2 linked regions of the Drosophila melanogaster genome follow. The protein of the gene in region 1 interacts with the protein of each later gene in a pairwise test. Each region holds a gene or a part of one and is shown in the gene's direction. Other genes may lie near its edges.

The links.
Region 2: the proteins of DCTN3-p24 (region 1) and CG15705 interact in a two-hybrid assay, tested with the Drosophila melanogaster proteins (one large-scale study listed by BioGRID).

The regions. Positions count from the first base shown.
Region 1 is NT_033778.4:23,060,730-23,064,616, reverse strand, and holds DCTN3-p24 (dynactin 3, p24 subunit), read left to right. Parts: upstream 1-2,023; 5' UTR 2,024-2,106; coding exon 2,107-2,685; 3' UTR 2,686-3,197; downstream 3,198-3,887. Other genes in the region: CG9890 (uncharacterized protein), read left to right, coding at 396-642, 697-1,808; Fatp2 (fatty acid transport protein 2), read right to left, coding at 3,360-3,887.
Region 2 is NT_033778.4:16,279,081-16,282,357, forward strand, and holds CG15705 (uncharacterized protein), read left to right. Parts: upstream 1-1,869; 5' UTR 1,870-1,941; coding exon 1,942-2,223; intron 2,224-2,438; coding exon 2,439-2,471; 3' UTR 2,472-2,549; downstream 2,550-3,277. Other genes in the region: prim (primacord), read left to right, coding at 1,113-1,268; CG7755 (uncharacterized protein), read right to left, coding at 2,645-3,277.

The DNA.
Region 1 (3,887 bases):
TCACAGAGTTCCGAAAAAAACATTTTTAACCGATAAGATGCTGCTGATTCATCATAGTCTGTTGAAAACTTAACGAACAATGTATTTGTAAGTTTCAGAATTTTAATTCACAGATAAGTTACAAATATTTGAATCGTATAATATCCTATAAGGATATTAACATTTCCAGTACGTGTTGTCTACATCGAAAATACTGAATATCATTTTTTGATTATTTAGTCTTCATAAGACAGTTGTAAGTATTTATTTAATTTTTTTTGTGCATTAAATTAAATTCATTAAATTTTCAATTGTTTCCAGTGTACGTCATAATTAAGCTTATCTCGCAAACAGTATTTTGCCGCTAAGCACCTGCGGTCACACTTATTCGTGGAGCACCAGGAGAACGTAAACAAATGGAGCACGAGGTGGCTGTTTCAGGAGGGGATTCCTCGCTGGAGGAGATCACTGGCAGTTCGAAACTCAAGCCCTCCAAGAACACGGCCATCAAGTGCCTGAAATGCGACAAGGTGTACATATTTCCGTCAGATAAAGATGACTGCCTGGCGCATTTGTATATGGAGCACCGACTGGTCATCGCCGATGTGGAGGATATAGCGCTTCTGGAGGACTACCTCCAGTACTGGGAAAAGGAGTTTCACAGTGAGAGAATCAGCAACCCTACCCTGAAAATTTAATAATTGTTACCCATTTTAGCCCACGAATTCGAGCAATATTGCACCACAATGTTCCTGGATCAGCTGCCCGATGGCAAGTACGCCAAGAACGAAAAGTACTACCTGCTGTGTGACATCCTGCCCCAGGACTACGAGCTGCGGCGAAGGTTGAAGGAGAAGCGCCTAAGTGAAGCCCTGGAGCGACATCAGTTCGAGCTAACCGACCGCACCTTCTCCAAGGAGTGCCTTTTCTGCAGGGCCATCATCAAGGGATTGAGGGCGGACTATCTGGACCATCTGTTTGACAAGCACTTTCTGTTGGTCGGCAAGCCCGAGAAGCTGGTGTATGTGGACGAACTGCTGGATCACCTGGAGGAGAACTTGAATCGGTTAATGTGCCTCTACTGCGAGAAGATCTTCAGGGATCGGCCCACGCTCAAGGAACACATGCGCAAGAAGGGCCACAAGCGGATCAATCCGAACCGAAGGGAGTACGACAAGTACTTCCTTATCAACTACAATCGTGTACCAACGGCCCCCACGCCCCGGAAACAGCACCTCCAAAAGCGAAGACGGGAAACGGCATCCGTGTCCACAGTTGCTGATCCTGAAACCGGCAGCGTGGACTTCGACAAGCACTTCGCTCGCCCTGATTCGGATGGCGAACACGATTCGGACTGGTCGGATTGGGCGGCAGATGGTGAGCCTAGCTCCATTAAGTGCCTGTTTTGCCACCATCTCGGCGACAACTTCACCGCCCTCAAGAAGCACATGCACGAGGTTCATCGCTTGGATTTCGAGAAGGCCACCAGCTCTCTGAACTTCTACCAACGCGTCAAGGTGGTCAACTACCTGCGCCGCCAAATGTGCCTGCTGCGCTGCGTGACCTGCGATCTGCAGTTCGACGAGGAGGAGCTGCTCGTGGAGCACATGGCACAAGAGTCGCACCACGGAATCGGCGATAAGGAGAGCTGGGACAAGCCCGAGTTCTTCTTCCCGTACATCGAGAACGATGGTCTGCTGTGTGTGCTGGATGATTCCGGAGGCGATGACCCGGACGTCGATACGGTGCGCATCATCTCCGAGGATAGTCTGGCGCAGATCAACAAGGATGCGGAGCGGTTGTCCCTCGAGAATTTTAAGCTGTTGTAACTGAGATTTTTGTATTGTACAGTTTACGTTTAAAAGAAACTAAGTAAATAGCAATGGAATTTAAGTGTGTACTATATTTATAGATACGTATGCACCAAAAACTTTATGCAGAGGAGCTAAATATTTTATTTAAATACCATATTTTTTAGTCCGCATAAGGGTTAATTCGTTCTGCTTAGCGAGTACAAGAACCTTGCCACCAAGCTAACGTTGCCACCTTTTCGTTGGACATCGATTGTTTTGCAGACTGACATCATTCCCATCAAAACGAACAAAATAAAGAGAAATTCAGCGAAAAATGGAGGCACTGGACATTCTGGAGAAGCGCATCGATGCCCTGACACGAGTCCTGGGTCCGGTCCAGGACTCTGAGGTGGGCGAGGGCGTGGTCGACGCCCTGTGCTCGGCACACGCCATCCTGGGCGAAGCAACCACAGGAAGTGCTGCACTGCAGCAGTGCGTGAAGAGATCTGACGAGCTGGAGAAGTACCTGGACCCCAACTTCCTGGAGGAGCACCAGCAGGTGCGCTCCAAGGAGGTGTACCTGCAAGCCGTGGCCCCCGAGCTGCACACGCAGGCCGAGCAGCTGGAGAGGATTAAGCAGCTGGAACCGGCCCTGGGCGCGGAGTACTTCCGCAGCATTCCCGCCGAGTGTCTGGAGCAGCTAAAGGGCATAACGCAGAACAACGGGGAGTACGCGCAGCAGAGCGAACTTATCGAGGAGAGTCTGGTCCTGGCCATGAAGCGATATGGCGAGATCCAGGCGGGACTGCTGAGCTCCCTGGATGCCATGAGCGAGCGCTTGGACCAGGTAGAGGAGCGCATGGAGCAGAGGAAGCGTGCAGAGTTGAGCAAGGATGTGCCGCCCAAGGATTGAGCGGATATAGATCCAAAGACTGCTGAAAGTATTTTATACGACCCCGTTTCCAAATCCGTTCACCTGAAAATCTGGTTCCACTTAAGCTGAAGGCATCAGTTGCTCAAGCAATGGATGTAACCTAGGTTCTATTGAAAAGTGTAATCGTAGCTAAAGCCATCCCGATTTGATTGGAACTGTTTAAGGAAGCCGGGATATTAGATTTTCTAACTACTCCAACGTAAAGTGGCTAATGATGCTCTTTCAATTGTAAGTTTCATTTTTAAAAACTATTTAACTAAGCACAATAAACTAAATTACAAATCTAATGAAAACCAATCAAAATCCTGTCTTACAGAAGGAAAATGCTATAATCACATAATAGAGCACAATATGGATTTATCATTGGCTGAATTTTATTTTTATTATCTATACAATGTATACAATACGATGTGACACTTATGTATGTAGGAATTGTAGAAGGAAATAGTTACAAAATAATAATTTACCCGCGGAAACGCTCTTTCAACAGTAAATTTCCAATGCTAAAGTTTATATTGTCCGGACAATAAGAAACTTAGCCAGAATTAAAAGTAGTTGGCGCACCACAAGCCGAATCCAAAGGATATCCTCTTCACCAACATACAAGGCACAGTCTTGACTTTTCTTCTTCCCAAGAACAAAGTCCGGCGCTCCTAGAATCGCAGCTCGTTTCTAACTATCCTCTCGTATACGGATGGGGTGAGTGGAGCATACACGCCATCCGGTTGGGCGTAGAAGAGTTCATCGTCGATGATCTCCGGATTGAAGCCCTGCTGCTGAAGCTCCACCTTGCGCAACTTGAAGGTGCCCGTCAGGTCGATTTTGCGCAGGAATCTGAGAAACTGCGGCCTGGCGTAGTTGGGCAGGGATTTGGCCAGTTCCACGCCCAGCTGGCTGACGTTGACCTCCCGAGTGGGATCGTAGATGGCTGCCATTCCTGCTCTGCCCTCAGTGTTGGGTATGCTTACGCCGTACACAATCACATCCTTGTAGCCAGCCAGATTACTCAACTGCGCCTCCACCTCGCTGGTGGAGACATTCTCACCCTTCCAGCGGAAAGTGTCGCCGGTCCGATCTTTGAAGTACAGATAGCCCCGCTCATCGGCCACCAGCAGATCGCCCGAGATGAAGGCCATGTCGCCCTTGGAGAAGACATCGTGGACCACCTTCTTGGAGGAGGC
Region 2 (3,277 bases), 6.8 Mb from region 1:
GATCTTTCCTTTACTATTAAGTGGCTATGAAAAATAGTCTATTGATGCGTTTGATAATTGCCTTATGTTTCACAAAAATATCTTACTATTACTATAACCATACCATATATATTATGTTTTGTTTCACTACCAAATATGTCTTCTTTTCATAAAGCGAATCGCCAATTATTCAGTGTAAAACATGCTTCGTAAATATGTTGAATAAAATTAATTTTGAAAGGAAGCATTTCATTTATTTCATTAACTAAAAAATAAGTTTTCCCAAAATTCATCAAATGTGTGCCAAATCTGACAAATACTTCTCCACTTTATGTGATTATTGTAAAGTCATTTATATTTTTTGCTGGCCGAATATCTTAAATATGATATTCCTTTGCTCTCAATATTCTTTACTTTTAATCCTTATCTCTGGCTCCTGTTGCTCTGGATTGAAGACCAGTTTGCGCATGTACCAACACTGCACATTGAGCGAAACTATCTTTTTTTTGGCATAAACACTTATTTTAAAGAAAAGCGTGCTTTCATGTTTTGAGTATACAATGATTATATTAGACACTACGTCTAACTAACTATTAGTATAAGTATTCGTTAAATCCTAAAAGATGTACAAAAATTTTTGGTTTACTTTTGGATAACCTTTTTACTCAACACTCATTCAGAACCGTTATAAGTTTATGGTTTAAACTGAAAATTTATATTTTAGGTGTTTTTTAATGTTTGAATATATTTTAAACATTTTTAATACTATATAATAGATAATTGTCTCCGTGTTATCATTACACTCCTCGCATGGAAATCTCTCTCTCTCTCGACGGCTTGTGCTCGGCTCCCATTCGGTTTTGTGGGGAAACACGAGACGAGGACGACAAGGAGCTTCGTGTCCTGATACAGCAACAGGATTAAATATATATGACGAGCCGAGCAGCGCAGTGTTATCATTTGAAGAAAAGAGTTGGTCGCCTGTGAACACGGTGAACTTAAGCATTAGAGGTTTAAGCTTATCAGGATATAGGAGTGCACCCAGCTTACACATCGATAGATAGCTCAGCTGAGCGCGAAAGTAACTGGAATAAGTAAGGGAATCACTGGTCTAGCGAAGCACCCAGCCACGGATGTGTCTGTACTTGGGAGTGGTGGAGCACCTGGTGGATGTGGTGGCCTACTGCATGTGCCGTGTCCTGGAGCTGTCCCTGTTCGCCTGCATGATGGTCTGCGGCTCCATGAGAGCCAAGCTGACCCACGGACCCACCAACGAGCTGGAGCAATGACCAGGACACCAGGAGTGCTGCTAAAAGGATGCGCGCGTTTGTGTGTTTGAGTGTGTTTCGACTAAAATTTAATAAAGGCAACTTTTCTAGTGGCGAATAAATTACAACTCATATGTGCTTGTAAACGATTGTCTTTTCCTCCCGTTGGCTGGCCCTTTGGAATTGAGCCATAACTCAAGATGGCCCACGGCAAGGATGTGGCCAAAGGGACTGGCTGTTTATCCTTCAGCTTCCATTGTTGGATTTTGTTTTTGTGCGGCGTACTCCGTTCATGGTACTTATTAGCCCTGAAGGGGATTATATGGGCAGTAATACAATGCCCATTTGCATGATGATAAAGTATCGACTGGGGGGGCCTTCCATGCCCACATGCTGGGCAATTGTGTGTTGGGGCTTTTGTTTTTGGCGCCTGCAAATATGCTCCTTTTTATTTGGGGAGTAGCCCCCATCCATTTCATAGGATAGTCCTGCTTCGGTATTTATGTAGTTGTTTACAGCCTCCGGCTTGGAACATAAATCCATTCAAATTGTACGTGCAAATGGGAGGACATCATGTTATATTACACACACCCGCAGCAGGCACTTCGAATTTGAGTTTTGAGCAAGTACAATTCATGTTTTGATACATTTTTGATAGCTGAGCAACAAAATCATACCAAATTCCCCTCTGAACATGGACAGCCCAGTAAAACAGCGCCTAAAACCCAAGAAGCTGGACAAACATCCAGGAACTCAGAAGGTCGAGTTCAAAAAGGATATCATCGATGAGGTAGCGGATCAGTCGGTTGAATACGATTACATGAAGTATCCCAGCAATAAAGAGAAGGCAAAACTCCTGAAAGGCGTTAAACCATCGAAAAGTGTCACATTCAAGACGGTGGTGGAGCTGGTGACCTATTCGGAAAACTGGAAGATGAAGATGAGCGAGAGCAGGCTGCGCTCGGAGGATGAGCAGGTGTGGTTACGGATGCTAAAGTCCACTTTCCGATACTCGGGCACCACGTATTTCTGATGCATTTGGACAAGCCTATTAAAAATTTTAGTTTTACTAGAACAATTTAAATAAAATACTACTACTACTTTTTGATACGTTTTCCAATGCATCAGACTTATTCTTATTTTCAGTTTCTTATATTACAATCTAATCATTCTTTTAATCTTAAACTTTAGCTGAAGAGCTCCCAAAAATATCGCAACTACTGACAACTTTCCTTAAAATTATTGTTCGTTGTAAGCTAATAAATTGTTATGTGTTGATAAAAAAATATTTCGAGAAAAACTAAAAATAGTTGGTTTTTATTTTGGAAAAATAATGGTCACAGACAATTTAATGAGAGTTTTTTTTCCCCAATATCATATATTTTATGGCAGGATCTTTATTTACCCAATGCTCGGCATCGCAGCTGGTTGATGATGTTGCAAATGACATACTCGCCGGTATCCTGGCCACCGAACTCCTTGGTGCGAATGCCTTCGTCCATGGTGCGCTTCAGCTCGCACCACAGTGCATCGGCGCACTTATCGTGGCCCAGATGCTGGAAGAGATCCACAATGGTGGACACGATGCCGTATGCACTTAGATTGGCATAATTGGTCAGCGATAGTTTCGTCTGGAGCGGTTTGAAAACGGCATGGTGATCTCCGATCTCCACCGCACTGAAGAGATTAGCCCCGCCACAGACTCCACTGCAGATGGCGGATAGGAATGTGGCATAGCGTTCGCTGGCGAAGAGGCAATCGAAGTAGGTGGGCTCCGTCATCAGCCGGCTGATGGCCTCCTCCACCTCCATGAGCTCCAGCTCCAGGCAATCCTTGTAGTGGCAGTGCAAGCGCTGTGCGGCTTCCACCAGTGAGCCATCGCTAATGGGCCACTCCTTGGCCTTGTTGATCAGCGTCACCCGTTTCCGGCCCGCCTTTGCAGCCGCCTTAAAGGCGTACCGCAGATACTTGTCATTGCCTTTTTGGGAGACGACGGACAGGGCCTCCACCACTCCCTCCACGGGTGAATA